Lonchura striata: one gene and its partner. The protein of the gene in region 2 purifies or fractionates together with the protein of the main gene of each other region. This does not show direct contact. Links are inferred from orthologs where the notes say so. Each region holds a gene or a part of one and is shown on either strand. Other genes may lie near its edges.

Region 1 (8,503 bases), on a different chromosome or scaffold from region 2:
ACAGACTGCAGACTGTTTTTGACGTTTAAAAAATTCAAAAAACAAGTATAAGAAAACAATTTCAAATATTTTTATTTCTGCAAAATTTTTACAAGCCATAATTTGCCATTAATGATTACAAAAAAAGTGAAAATTAAGAAATATTGTCTAATTTCTTGCTGATGAACTCCCTTTCTTTAAAGTTCTGCATACCCACATATTAGAAGGTTTTGCTCTTCCTCTTCACACCACCACTCACAAATTTCACCATAATCCTATGAAAGCTTCCTTAAACCAAGAAATAGACACAAAAAGTTAAAGCAGCAGGTTTCTGTGAGACTGTTAGATGCTGTGTAAAGACTCCTTGTTTTATTCTATTCAGGGAGAAACATCTAAAGCATGTGTCTGGAATCCTCTAACACAGGCAAGTAGAGATACATGCCCAACTGAAAATAATCTATTCTTTAGACCACTGAGAATTCTGCAGAACATTTTTAACCTTTTGGAACCATACATCATACAATGGTGTCATACAACTGGTAATCCCACTTGTTCTAAGATCTCCCTTATTTTCACCCTATTGATGGTCTGGGATAGTTTATTATAACTCCTAAATCTGACAATAGATTAACTGAATAAGCCACACTGATATTAGTAACTTAACTTACATCATCAGCGGGTAAAATCATTAAACATTTTAACAGTAAAAATCTTGTACATGGCACTTTTTCAGCTTGGAGTGTGATTGTTTCAGCTTGTTTCAGCTTGGAGTGTGATTCTAGTATGTAATAACAATTATTAGATCTCAAATTCATAATCCTTTGTAAATCTCATCAGAACAGAGCATTTTCTTTTGTACAGCAGTAATAGAAATTCAACACTGAAGACAAATTGCTGGTTACACTGTATTGTAAAGAATTAGAATAATGGAGGCACAACTTCAGGGAAAAGACACCTTTCTAATATCCAGCCTAAACCCTCCCTGTCACAGCTTCATGCTGTTCCCTCAGGTCATCTCACCAATCACCAAAATCAAGAGATAGGTGCTGCCTCTCCACTTCCCCTTGATTTGATGAAGTTGTAAACTGTGATGAGGTCTCTCCTCAGTCTTCTCCTTGATGCCCATGTCAACAGAACTAAGAACCTGGGCCATAAAGACGCATAATAAACATTTAAACAGTCACTTTACTGTACTGTGTTAAAAAAAAAAAAAAAGAAAAAAGGAAAAAGGATGCTTAAATACATTATGGATAAAATCTATTTTTGATAAGCAATGAACACCTAGCCTGCAGAGTGACTAAGACAAGCAATACTGATGATAAAAACGAGTTTGGACAATTGTCCTTCAAAAGAAAAAAGGCAGAGATTTGTTTATGGCTAGATTACTGTTTCAAGAACCTTAACCTCAGTACAGGGTTTGAAACGAAAGCTGCCTGATTCTACTGAGTCATGGAATCAATATGGTTGACCTCCAAGATCATTGAGTCCAACATTTGACTGACACCACCATGTCACCTTCAGCTTGGAACTTCAATGTCTGGTGACATCCTTTAGCTAATATCAGTGAGCTTGGGGCTTAACAGCAGGATATCACCTTTTTTGTTGTTGTACTTATTACAACACTGGTACATTCACCTATTTTGAAGGTATATTAGAAAATGTTGTCTGCTCATTCCTTATATGTAAACTGTATTGCACTACTTAAATGATACCTTGGGTTAACTGTCTGTAATGATTATATATATATATATATATATACATCACTTTATTTTTAAAAATAAATAGTACAGTCTTCAACATAACAGGTTTTTTTAGGCAGTGTGTGTGACAGCTATAGTGGGTCTATAAGCTGCACAGATAATTTGGCTTAAGAGATACCAGTTTGACTAACTAGGTGGAGTTGAGACCCATAGCCAATCATGTCAATCAAATCATAATGAGGACAATATGAGAAACAAAATTTTTAGTTACTTGGGGAAGGCCTTTAATATTATTTAGGCAGATAAACAAAGTACTAAACATTGGAAAAACCTCTGTCTCTATCCTGAAGATGTAGTACTGGTTTTGACCAGCCTTAGAAAATTCCAAATTGGGCATCAAAGTCACAATATGACAAAATGAAGAAAGAAGATCACGGATGTCAGTGGCTCAGACACTAGACAGCATAAATTGTGGTCTTGAGCTCAGAATCCTGCCTTTTGAGCTACCTTTTTTTTTTGATTAGTGTTTTCAGAGTTGAAAGAAATGCAAATTGGGTGTAGTAGCAGCTTGTTTCCAGAAGCTGCAGATAGATGTTATTTATTCTACTCTTCATTATTTTGTTTGGGTATTATTTCTTCAGAAGTCTTCATTTATTCAATGCCAAGTTTGCCCCTCTCTTCTGCTGTTTCCTATATTTTCCAATTACAACTTAAAACTCCTATTTCCCTCACTCCTCAGTTTGGTGTTCTCCAAGTTTCCATCAACACATAGGTCCTGGTAAGTCCTTCCCACACGACATGAACAGCTGAACCTTCAGTAGCAGTAGGCATATATTTCCAGGTATTTACAGGCTTCTGTGCACTCTACTGGATAAGAGTTCCCATATGACCAAGCTGAAAACTTAGGAAAAGTATTTCACTAGCCCTTATCTGATGCTGTATTTCATTTCCTCAAGCAAAACAGAACTCACCATCTAGAGGACATGTCATTTTTTCCCAACTAAGATTTTTTCTTATGGCAGCAAAACAGGAATGATCTCAACAATTTTACCATCTCCCATGAAATAAAGGCTCTTGGATTGTATTTTGTTGAGTACCATACCAGTGTCACAACACATGTCTTGATTGTACCTGCAATACAAACTCAATATAAACAGCAGTGATTCCTTTCTCAGACTATCATCCTTTCCAATTTGTTTGTTCTGTGGAAGTTCTGAATTCTTGTCATTTGTGCAGGTAGAACTACAGAATTGTTTAGGTTTCAAATACCATTGTGTCCAACTGATCCCCAGCAGTGCCACACCCACCACTGAACCATGTCCCTCTGCCTCATTTAAAAGTCTTTTGGACATTTCTATGCTAAGGCAATACTCCTCTAAAGTGCCCAGAAATCCTTTCCTGTGACTCAAGCTAACTGGATTAGCTATAGCAGAGAGAGCATACACTGAGGTAAGAATTCCAAATGGTAAGAAAATCTTGCTTTCCTGTTTAGCTTACAATCCTCTGCACAAGTGAGAGAAGCCCAGGATAAGGGTAGTGTTTAACCCAGGACCTGTAGAGCAATGACCTAAGTAGTACTTAGCTGATTGGACATACTCTAGTTGATTAGTCTGTTCCTTCCCATCATCTTAAAAGTGACTTAAGTGTAATCTGGGGGAAAGCTAAAGTAACTGCTGCTACTGTTACTATTCTGAATTATTCTGAATGTTCAGCACTATGTGGTTCACAATTTTCTGTTTCAGGTTTAAGCATGATTCTCTGCAAACTGAGCATGGCCCTTAGCCTTCCCTCAAGGTGCCACTCACATTTTCACTGGCCAGTATTATTGGTGAAACACAATTGTCCTACTCACACTTCAGCAGATGTCTTCAAACCCTTCTGTTCCATTGCTCAGGTTCCCAGAGCTGAATAAACAAACAAAAATTAACATTCTGCCCTCCTTATGAACTTCCCAAGATCTTGTTAAAATTTTACCCTCCTAGAATTTGAGAAACAAGTTCCTACAGATAAGCCGGGGATTTCCATGTGCACAATTATAGATTTTGGGTGGTGAAAGTGCAGCTAACGGCCAATAGCCAACCCTCTGACCTTTGCATAGTCCTTTAGCATGTCAATGTCTATGCAGAAAATAAATGGATGCATAGCTAAAAAAAGATCAAGACCAAGTCAAAGTTGTGATTAGACAGTGAGTCCCAAAGAAATCCTGGCTGTAACACAAAGAGATGTTTTAGTGTTAATTCAATACAGCTTCATACATAGATATTGTCTATATTCATAGTCACAAGCATACATATATATTATGGTTTTAGTGGTATTCTGGCTTTAAAAAATGCAGGCAACACAAGCTTTGATAAAAGCACTGTGCCAAGAGGGCAGCTCAGAAATCATAGCATTGTAGACTATCCTGAGCTGGGAGGGACCCACAAGGATCACTGAAGTCCAGTCGAGTAAGTGCTGTGGAGGGAGGTATTGTCTGCTATTGGGGGGTTTCTGTGTGGGTTGCTGATTTCCTCAGTCAGAAGCATTGTTGCTGTTAGTGCTTGCTTTCTAAACTCATTGGTGTTTTCAGTAAATTGTTCTTATCTCAACCTGTGATCCTTACGTATTAAGTTGTGAAAAACGCCAGTCACTTGGTTTTTTAAAAATTTAAAAGCTTAATAATAATAAAAAGGTTATAAAAATAGCAATACAATTAGAGTAATGAAATTTAGAGTTAGGACAATTACAAGACAATAAAAAGCAAAGAATTACGGCAGTCTGGATGCTCTTGGACACTAAGTCACGAAAAGCATCCCTTGTGAACAAAGGAATAACCTTAAAAGCAATAGCCTGTTGCTTATTCATCTATCTCATACATGATGTATAAATTCCTTGCAAATTAAGAACTTTTCTGTTTTTTGTCAGCTTCTTCTCTTTAATCTTGGTGGTTCCAAAAAGACAGAGAGAAGGTGGAAGAATGTTTGTCTTTCCTGATAAGGAGGCTGTAACTTTTTATGGGCCCCCTTCGCTGACATCTCTGTGTGAAGAGTTTCTTGATCATCTCATCTTCTCGCTTGAGCTTGTGACAAATCTTATATCGCAGAATTTCTGTTTTAACATTATGTTGTAACCTAAAAACCGTATTTAACACAGTACTTAAGAGAATTAATACAGCATAACTTTCTAACACTACACACATAATACTCATTGTAACATTTGCGAAAAGCCAATCATAAAATACGCATTTTCCAACAAAGTGAAACGCTCGCCTAGAGCCTGCTCAGCTTATGACGTTTATCATCGGTGGCCATGAAAAAACCGGCGCTTTTCCTGGAAAAGGAAGCGCCGGGAACACGGAAAGAGAGAGGGAGCGAAGGCTCGAGCCCGGCGCCGCCCGCCCTGAGGGGCGGCGCGAACCCGGCGCGGCCGCCCCGCGCATGCGCAGTCCCCCGCGCCTGCGCAGCTCCCGCCGTGCCCCGCGCGCTCCCGCCCCGCGCCTGCGCAGCTCCCGCCGTGCCCCGCGCGCTCCCGCCCCGCGCGCTCCCGCCCCGCGCCCGCGCAGCTCCCGCCGTGCCCCGCGCGCTCCCGCCGCCGCAGCCCCGCACCGAGCGGAGATGGCGCTGCACGTCCCCAAGGCCCCGGGCTTCGCCCAGATGCTCAAGGAGGGGGCGAAGGTGAGGCCGGCGTTGGGTGGGTGCGCGGGTATAAGTGGGAGGGGGGTGCGGGAGGAGTCTCAGGGTAGCGGTGCGGCGAAAGGCCCGGAAGGCCGGCGGGGCCTGGCGGCAGCACGTGTCCCGCGGGGCGGGGGCCCGGGGGTTCGCGCAGTGCCCGGCCCGGGGCCGCTCTGTGGCCCCCGCGGGGACCGCCCGGCACACGCGGCCTTCCAGAAACCTCTGCGGGGCCGGGATCCCGCTCCCCGCCCTGCCCTTGGGCCGGGCCCTGCCGCTTCATCCCGCCGCCTCCGGGGATGCGACAGGGCCCGCGTTGTTCCCAGTGAAACGCGAGATTTAATAGGGAGTTTAGAATGATTTAGGCAATGTGAACATATCACATATAGTGAACATATAGTGTATGTTAGGTCGATTCTGTTGCAGATTGGTATAAATGAGAATTTATTCAGCCAGATTAAAAATAAAAATAATTTTATTAGCGGTTAAATTCTATCTAGGCAGCCACAAGGAAAGATCAGAGCCGAGCCCGGGGTCAGCGCTGGGTGTGCAACAAGGAGTCAGCCTCAGCAGAGGTTTTCCCCTGTGCCCACACACCTCCATCCTGGCACAGGCGGGTTTTATAGGGAAAATTCCGCTTGAGGCCAGGATTTCAGCAATCAGTCTTTTCTTCTATTCAGAGTCTATAGGTTAATGAGATTTTCTTTTTTGGTGATGAGGAGGAATAATTCAGTGTCTGGAGTAGGTGAATTCCCGATGAGATTTTACGGGAAGGCTGCATTCACCTGGATCTGTCTGAGGTTTTCCATGATATCCATCTTGGGCCGTTTATGCGATGATCAGCACCTGATGATCAACAAACACCTGCAGTCCCATGGAGTCTGGACATGGCTCATCTCCTGGTCGAGCCACATCCTTTTACTTGTAAATCAGTTTCCAATATACACCCAGTCTCGCCTGCAAAGGTGGGGGGGAACTAATACAAACGGGCATAATCTAACAAGTATCTAATATTACATATTTCATACAAGGAATGGTGCGAATTATATTTACTACACATAACATTATTAAACGTATGCAAAAAGAAGGGGGGCCTCTGATGGAAATTGTTGAGCTTGCTAAAGATGGGAAGCAAAAGGGCGGCTGTGCATCTGAGTTGGAAAGTTCCATAGTGAGGAAGACTATGGAAGCTTCATCTCACCGGACCCCAGGCTCATTTTTGAGACCATTGACTTAATAAAAGAACGAACTACGCAGTCACAGCTAATTTCCATATAATGCAGAGAATAGGTGGGGTTAGTTTCTGGATATGTATAGGTGATATAGAATATGCATGGATTTTGTGTATAAATAAGGGGATTGGGGAAGCTGGGGTACACAGGATTTGGGAAGATTTTGCCCCCCTGCGTGCAGCGCTGAATAAATACCTATCTACTTTACAACCCTTGATTGTGGAGTTATTACTGTGCATCACAAGAGCTCTCACAGGGGCTGGGCAGCAACTGTCAGCCGGGCCCTGTAATTGAAGCAGTTCAGAAGTATCCGGGTCGTTCTGCTTGATTTTTCCTGATACCTTTGGCAGCGATGCAGAACAATGTTTTCTATAGATTTCCTTACCAATAAATCCGGTTTTGTTGTGTTTGATGTTAGCATAATGAAGATTTTGGTAGAAGTGAAGAATTGTATCTTAATAAAGGAAAAGCTTTCTTTGAAAAGTGGGCAGAAAGCAAGCAGGTGTGGGTTTTATTTATTTTTTATTATTTATAGAATCAGCAGAAGACTTTGGCTTGGAAGGGACCTTAAAGATCATTTAGTTCCAAGCCCCATCCAGCCTGGTCTTGGACACTTCCAGGGTTGTGTATCTGCATTTTTTCTGGGAAATCTGTGCCAGAGCCTCACCACTCTTACAGGGAAGAATTTCAGGGATTCCTAACACTTAACAGAAACCTACTCTCATTCAATGTGAAGCCATTGCCCATTGTCTTGTCTCTCCAGGTTCTTGTCCAAAGTCCCTCTCTCCAAGAAAGAGGGAACATAGGAAACTTTTCCATTTGTTGCTACTTAATAGAAAGAAGAGCAAAGGTAGCAGTTCTGAAAGCCCTTTGTGTTTCGTTTTAGAATCCTTCTTGGAGCCAAATAATGGCATACGTTCAGGGCAGGGGCAGAACAGGGAAGCAGCGTGGCCTCAGTGTTAGAAAATTCAAAGCCAGAACAGCAAGAGTTGTCTTCTGCAAAACAAGGGGGCAATCTAAGATGTTTGGCATGAATTTAGAGAGTAAATATTGTTACTTTTCTCCCTTCTCTTATGGACTGCATAGTGCTTTTTATCCTGCTTTTTCTTTCTTAAGGTCCTTTCTAGTGGCCCCATCTTGTCTTAAGGTTTCCAAACTGAAGCCAGGCTGATCGCCTTCTCAAGCACAGATATTTTACTTAATCATTCTGCTTCTGAATTTTCAGATTCAGTTAACTCAGTTCTGTGTTTTGAACAGAGAATGAGTTAAATTATTTTTGTAGCATACAAAGGTGCAAGTAAAGAAACATGTACAGAAACCCTTGCCCCTCTCCAACTGGATCTTGGTTATTTTCTGCTTCTTTTTGGCATGTCACAAAACATTTTGGAAGACTGAGGGGATGCAAATTGTATTGCAAGTCAGGTCACTGTTCAGATTTTCTCTTTAGAAGCTTTTTGTGTCTACTGAGCTACCTAGTTGAGAGGGTGTATGTACTAATTCTCACTGTCTTGGGTAAGGTTTGGTGTCTATTTACACGGTATGTGAAATACCAAATGTATATTAATAAAAGACTTTGAGGGACTCAATGAATTGAGACTGATTTAATGAGATTTTACTAGTTCATTAATGAGAATTTACTAGTTCATCACTTTTTTTTGTTAGCCTAATTCTGATCAGTCATTTTTCTCTTTAGCATTATTCAGGACTAGAAGAAGCTGTCTACAGAAACATTCAGGCATGCAAAGAACTTGCTCAAACCACCCGTACAGCATATGGACCAAATGGTAAATCTTAAAATTATTGCTGCATTTTTGAGATGATGCTGTGTTTGGAGCTAAACATACCTTGACAAACAAGCAGCTGGGGGAAACACTGGACTTACTCTAAAACTGCAAATATGTGATTATTTCTTTGTGACTGTAGAAAACGGATTTTGTTTTGACAG
Region 2 (7,318 bases):
GCTACTGTACTTCAGAGGCTAGGCTCCAACCTCACCCCAGCCATCGAGGACCTGGGATCTTGCTCTCCTCTCTTAAGAAATGACAGAAGGTTTCCCTGGGGTTTTGGCTTTGTAACAAGATAAACATAAAGACCATGAAAATCTGCCACATAAGCAAAGCTCCATCACACAGAATTAAGCCTTTCCTTAGAAAAAACCCCATCAGGAGTATCCTGCTGAACACAGGCACACACAAACCCACAGCTCAAGGGCAGGGCTCCTAGGCTGAGCACGCCTCCTCCGACGGAGGATCCCGAAACACCGGGGGATGGCGGACACACCAGGCCGGACACGGCGCAGGAGCTGCACGGGCCAAGATCTGCGCCTGCCTCCGCCGGCGGCGCGCCCCGGGAGCCGGCGGCGCGCCCCGGGAGCCGGCGGCGCGCCCCGGGAGCCGGCGGCGCGCCCCGGGAGCCGGCGGCGCGCCCCGGGAGCCGGCGGCGCGCCCCGGGAGCCGGCGGCGCGCCCCGGGAGCCGGCGGCGCGCCCCGGGAGCCGGCGGCGCGCCCGGCCCCGTTACACGGCTCCGGGCAGCCCTGCCTGCGGGCTCAGCCCCGGCCGCAGCCATCCTCCCCCGCCCGTGCGGCGCCCCCGCCGACCTGCACCGTGTAAATCCAGCCGACGTCCATGTGGCTGTGGGCCACCACGAAGGCGCGCAGCTCGCCGCCGGCCCGCGGCAGGAGGGCGAGCAGCGGGAGCAGCGGGAGCAGCGGGATGCGCGGGGCAGCCATGGCCGCTGCGGCGCTCCCGCCGCACTTCCGCGTCCCGCGGCACCGCCTCCCCGCCCGGAATCAAATAAATAAATAAAAGAAGGGGCAGGAGTCTCCTGGGGAGCGGGAGGCTCCGAGGCCCGAGGGGTGACTCCGCCCGCGCCCCGAGCGGCGCTGCGGGTGCGCGGCGGGCGGAAAGCGCCGCCCCTGTGCGGGAATTCCGGACCCAGTTCGGGTATCTGGAATTTGGGTAACGCTGGGCTGCTCGGGGAGAAGCTGAGTTCTGCATCTTGGACATCTATAAATATTTCTTGTTTTCCTTTGAATTGAAAGGAAATTTTGTTTCGTGGTATGGTACTTCATTACGGCTTATTGTCTGCATCTCTGAAGTTTTGGAATTGAAGAAGGGTTAAATTTTATGTGGTTGACCTTCTGATTCCTGCTAGGAACAGGTGGACCCTGTGCTGAGGACTGGAAAGGTAAACACTTCTGTTTGAACTGCATAAAGTCCTAGTGAAAAAGGAAAAAATCCAAACCCAAACAAAAAATATTGTCGCATAGTGTAGTCCAGTCTCCTCAGAAGTTTTTTTGTAAGCAGATGCACCACTTTCTGCCTATTAAATCATTGTGACATAGAAAGCCAAAACACATAAAACTATATTTCTTTAAACTTGGATTCTTTAAAAAACATACACTATAGTATAGATCAACTACTTTCCTTAAGTTTTAGTTTGACTAAATCACATACTTTTAACAACAATGCAATTCTGAAATGACACAAAATGTCATATCAAAGTCCTCGCTCATTTCCAACAGTGCAAAAGTATAGAACATCACATGGAGAAGGGTAACTGCTCCCACCTTCAAGTTTGGTATGGATTTAGCATTACGCATTACATCCCAAACCTAGTTAAACCAGTCATCACTCTGTGATTGAAGGAAACAATCACAAATAGCTTAGTAGTGTCCATCTGCCAGACTAGCTGGCTCCTAGTGCAAATTAAACCACCTCAATACTCAAGACACCTGTAAAAAAGGATCACATAATTTGTATTGATCTCGTCATTCTAGAAAGAAAAAAACATGTGCTGCTTTACATACCAAACTTGGTGGGTTTTTTTTTAACATATAAAGTTTTAAATAATTGTTGTAAATAATTGAAGATGGAAAGGAAAACGCTTTATGTAAATCAGTAGTAATGAGTTGAACGCAATAAAATGGCCACATTCCATAAAACTTAAATCTAATATGAATATATTCTCCCAGAACAGGGCCTTTGTTTGCTATTTCAAAGAGTTTTAGAGTTTTCTGTGAAAATAAGAGGCTAACATTAGAATGCTAATATCAGTTTTATTTTTGATAATAATACATTGTCATGAAGAATAATCAAGGTCTATAGGTAACTTTTAGGGGAAGTTAGTACCACTATAAGCAGCTGGATGAAGCTTTACTTTAATACAGCTCTATGATACATTTTTCCCCCTCAAATCATCAGCATAAACATGTTAATTCCGAGAATGCTAGTGCACATCCAGCAAACATATGGCTTGAAGATATATATACACACACTGTCTAAACACACTGGTGTTTTTACCTCAGAAGGCAATACTATCTTTGTAATTTAGGTGAAGTTCCCAGGAAAGCTTAAATATCAGTGTTTTGCTTTGTTGCTAAAAGTACCTGGGAATATTTGCTGAATGTTACTCCAATTTAAAATCTATTTCCTTCAGAAACTGTAATTGTCCTCCTTATCCTTTCACAACGGCCACACTGCACCTCTGTCTTGGATAGAGTGGAGAAGAATGTGAATCAAACTGCCCGCAGTTCATACACCTGAAGGTATCAGGAGGGGTTCTACTTGCTGCAAGAAGGGATGAATGGTATGTCAGGTGGAAAGGTATGTCAGGAAACAATTCTTCCCTGCCACTTACATACTGCTTCACAAACAGCAAAAAGATAGATGGAGGAGCCAGTGCAGTCATGCCATGATAGCCGCCTATGTCGATACTTTATCCTCTTGTTGGCTCCTAATCTCATAGTATGGCTTCATTATAGTCTTCCTCTCTTCTTTCTTAAGCTTTTCTCATTAGCCTATATGAAGTGTGGCTGCTCTTTTTGACACAAACTGTGCCATACGTGGGCCTCTGACACTGTTACCTTGATAAGACAGAAGCCGTGGGCAGGATGCTGCCAACTACAAGCTAAGAGTCACAATTGTCTTAAATTAGGTATCAAGAAAGTCACCTGGTGAACAGAGCAATTAATGTGTACCTTTATATTTCTCTCCTGACATGTTTTTGGGGTGGAAGTCTCTAAGAATAAAGGCGTTTATTAACATATATTTGCTCTAGCTGACTGTTTCAGTGTTTTATAATTTTCCATTTCCCAAACCATTTCCTACTGAAGGCAAAGGTCACTGCACAGAGCCCTTTAGACTTACTTGGTAGCAGGTTTGCTTTCTTTACCAACGTCTCAGGGATGCTGTAAAGACAGTTTGTGTATTCACAGGGGCTCGTGGACCAGAGGAAAACCACTCTCCAGCCTTGCAGTACATATATAACCCAACTGTTCATGTGGCATTTGTGGCCTTGATCAGTGATAGCCCAAGTGGCCTAGGTAAGAGAACTGAGGGCAATGTTATGGGGCGAACGTAGCTGTGGCGAGGCTGAGCGGCACTAGGGCCACCGGCAGTGGGTGCCACTGGCAGTGGGTGCCACTGGCAGTGGGTGCCACTGGCAGTGGGTGCCTGCTGTGTGGTGTCCCCCGCCAGGGATGCGCGTCCAGGCTTGGGGGCAGCCGGGATGCGCGCCCATGCTCGCCAGGCTGCCCGCACCGCAGCCACGGGCGGCACCTGACGGGGAGCGCACACGGAACGGGACGGGCAGCAGGGAGGGCTGTCCTGGCCGGGGCAAGGCCGGGCTGCGGCACCGCACCCCGCCGAAGCCGCCGCGGCCGGGCTCGGCTCGCTCCGCGGCCCCGCGGCTCTCCCGCGCCTCGGGGCCGGCGCTGCCGGGCGCGGCCGGCCCGGGCGAGGCTGCGCCGCCTCCGCCGGGAGCTCCGGGCGGAGCCTTGCCTCCTCCCCGGCCTCCCTCCCCCGGCTCCCCGAGCACCCCGAGGCAGCGGAGGCTGCCTGCGCCCGCTCCGCCGGGAGGAGGAGGAGGCGCCCCGAGCCGCGGGCGCTGGGAGCAAAGCAAAGAACAGTTCAGAGCAGCGGGCGCATTCCGGAGGGCGACACCCATGTCCCACAAACAGGGTATCTGGAAACGCGCTCCTTCCCCCGGTACCCGCTGTCCCCTCTCATCCTCCGCTCCCTGCTCAGCCCTCTCCATCTCTCCTCCCCGCTCTCTTTTCTCCCCCTCGCCGCCACTTTCCCTGTCCCTTCCTCAGCCCTGTGCCCCGCTGGCTCTGTGCCCGACTGACTGTGCCTTTCCTCCTGCCCAGCCGGCGGCTCCCCCGGCCAGAGCGCGGCTGACTGGTGCCTCTGCCAGCTCAATGGAGCGGCCGAGCTCGAGGTCTCCGAAGGTGAGTGCGGGATGCTGAGCGGGCGCGTCCCCTGCCCGCTGGCCCGGCCGGCCGCGGGGGGAAGCGGGGCTCGCTGCTGGCAGCCGCCCCAGCGGTGTGCCCGAGGGCAGGTGTGGAGGTGGGCCGGCAAAGGGGTATCTGCCGGTGCTTTGCATGTTCCAGGCCTTGTAAAGTGCCTTGGCTCGTTTTGTTTTGCGGGGGCGGGCGGGGGGGAAGTTTTTTTTACGTGTAGCAGCTTAGATGGCATGAGACCTTCTGACCTTGGTGTCAGTGGGTGTTGGTGCAAAGTGGACTGAAAAGTTTTCTGGCCTTTTTTCACTTTTAACTTTGAAGAAAGAAGTCACCTGGAAAGTTTTATTTATTAATGTTCTGTGATCAGAAGAGGAACTGTCTTCGGGTGTCAGGACAGGAAAGCCTCTCATACCAACCATACCACACTGTGTATGATTTTGAACAAGCAGAATATCTGAATTTAGGTGTGAACCTGTGTCCTCCAGGATGCCAGATGTGTAGTGTGCTGTGCCCATGAGCATCTTCCAGTGTCTGTTGTCAATGAGTTAAGTGGAACTAAGACCTCATCTTGATGTTTTTGGTCTGCTGGGGTTATGGATTTCTAAGAAGAGTGTATTTACCCTTTGTAAACGTTTAAAATGCATCAGAAGTTGAGTTAGACTGAAAAACTTTCCAATACGGAGGAAGGTGGAACCCTGTAGTAGATTGGCTTCAGATTCAACATTAAGGAAAGGCTGACAACAGGGAAACACTGGAATATAGGAATTAGGTAGATAATGAAATCCCATTCATTTGAGATATTTAATGTTTGTTTCACAAACATACATTGAAGAGATAAAGCCTTGGGGCAGGCAGAAAGATTACTTGTTTGGTGTCTCTTCAGCTATTATCCGTGATCCTTTATGGTTTGAAGTTTTGTGTCTTGTATTTTGCTGTTTGGAGAAATTATTTAAACCCCAGGGTACTAATAATAAGCTGTAGCTTGACCAAGGTTTTGGATTAAGTTTTTCCTTCCTATTATTCCATGGTGAGCGGTGTCCCTATATTTCAAGGTGCACTTAATAGTGTGTGTAATTACACACAATTGCATACTAAAGCATTTATCAAAAGATGTTGTGATTTATTTTTGCCTATGTGATTTTTTTTTTGGTGAAACTGCATACCAAACCAGATGTGATGACGATAGATGGGGGTGGAAATTATATCCGTGTGAGGGAGTGTAATGAGTGAGTGACAGCATTTCTTAGGCATCACAGAATGCTGAAAATGAGCTTTAGTTTGGCATTTACTTTCATTTAAAGATTTGAATGAGTAGAATATGCTTCCTAACCTCATTTGTCTGGGTAAATACCAGTGTTTCAGCACTGCTTTGAGATGATAATGTTTTTTCTCAACAGGTGTTTTATTCCTTTGATTTATTGGGTCATCTCTTTTCACAGGGCATATTCTTTTAAATTACTTTGCTAACCCTAACTTCAGTTCTCTTTAATATTGCCAATTTTTGGATTCCAAATTTTATTCCCCAACTTAAATAGGAATCTTAAATGTTTTCTCTTAACTTACCATGGAGATAGATGAAATTCAGAGACCAGGAAACAAACTGAAGCAATGTCATTTGATCACAAAACCTGTAGAATCAAAGTCATCTGCAGGTAGTAAACCCTGTTTATGTTAATATATTGTATAAAAATATGACATATATATATTATATTGTATATAAATATATATTGTGTATAAATTATATATACAATATATATTGTATATAAATATAAGATATTGCATATAAATATAATATACTGTATATAAATATGACATTTTTCCAGAGTACATGCTGGGTATTAATGCCACTTATATCTAAGTGCACACAGAGTACTATAATCAGCAGACTTTGCAGAAGTGAAAAATAGCTCAAACAGAAGTCCATGGTGGCAGATGACGTGACCTCTTTTGCTTGACACTGTTTTTGGATGAAGTCCAAACCTTTTCCTTTGCTGAAGTATGCCTGTAAAGTAAATTACACAGAGCTAGACAGAATCTTTTGTTTAAAATTGATTGTTCCTATGACTTCCATCACAGACTTTTTTTCTCTCTTTATCCCAGTTCTTTTTTACTTTTCAGAAAGGCCACAACTTTTAATTGCAACTGCATTGGTTAGCTATATTTTCCACCCAACTGATGGACAAAAGGACTAGTTTATCTATATTAAATATTATAGTGTGATTTATATATCTAGATAGATATCTGTGTATATAAACATTTGCATATTAATAAGTTCAGTTAGTGTTCTGGGCATCTCTTGCTGCTTTTGTTTTTGAATGCTTGCATTGACCTTGCAGTACTCTAACTCTGTCAGTTAGACTTCAGAGCTGTGTTCTGCAACATTTCTGTCTTAGCCTAGGAAAGAAAATTTTTTTTTTCCAAAAATAGATGTTAGATGAAAAACATTCATTTACATAACAGAAAAGAAAAATTGCATATTTCAAATGCAAGGAAAATAGAGCATAGTAAGTGAAATATCACAATCAAAGCCAAGATAATCATGTTTGATTTAGTCTTGCTGCCTTGAAACAAAATCCTATTTCAAATATTGCTACTTCTATAATTAATGTCTAAGTGCAAAATATATTTTATTCATGCTAAAAATCTCAAAGCACTTTGCTCACAGTAAGTGCAGCCTCACAAAAGTTGTATGAAGAACAATATTAGTGTATCCATTTACAAGCTTCAAGAATTAAATATAGAAGTTAAGGATGTAATTTTCTTTAGAAGCTGTATGTTAACTATTAGGCAGATAACAACATGGGACTTCTGAAAAGTCACATCTTTTACTCTATGTCCAATGATGTACTGGACTGTTAACAAGATTGCTTAATCTAGAGCCTTTGCTTTAAGTTCCAAATCACATTAACTTCTTGCAAACTGTGTTGGTTAAAGCATGTTCGAAATATTTTAGGTTGTGAATTCTAAGCTGGCATTATGTTATTCTAGATATGAATGATAATATGTTTAATGAAAAGATTCAGTCAAAAATCATAT

The links. The genes of interacting proteins can lie anywhere in the genome.
Region 1: the proteins of PPP2R2C (region 2) and CCT8 purify together in Homo sapiens (affinity purification with mass spectrometry; 3 studies listed by BioGRID and IntAct, with this or other methods). This does not show direct contact. The link is inferred for Lonchura striata from reciprocal best matches to the Homo sapiens genes PPP2R2C and CCT8.

Annotation. Positions count from the first base shown.
Region 1 is NC_134604.1:4,124,269-4,132,771, reverse strand, and holds the start of CCT8 (T-complex protein 1 subunit theta), read left to right. Parts: upstream 1-5,176; 5' UTR 5,177-5,272; coding exon 5,273-5,332; intron 5,333-8,251; coding exon 8,252-8,342; intron 8,343-8,503. UniProt on the Homo sapiens protein: Component of the chaperonin-containing T-complex (TRiC), a molecular chaperone complex that assists the folding of actin, tubulin and other proteins upon ATP hydrolysis.
Region 2 is NC_134606.1:12,004,825-12,012,142, forward strand, and holds the start of PPP2R2C (protein phosphatase 2, regulatory subunit B, gamma), read left to right. Parts: upstream 1-3,854; 5' UTR 3,855-3,985; coding exon 3,986-4,028; intron 4,029-4,189; coding exon 4,190-4,270; intron 4,271-7,318. Other genes in the region: MAN2B2 (epididymis-specific alpha-mannosidase), read right to left, coding at 638-769. UniProt on the Homo sapiens protein: The B regulatory subunit might modulate substrate selectivity and catalytic activity, and might also direct the localization of the catalytic enzyme to a particular subcellular compartment.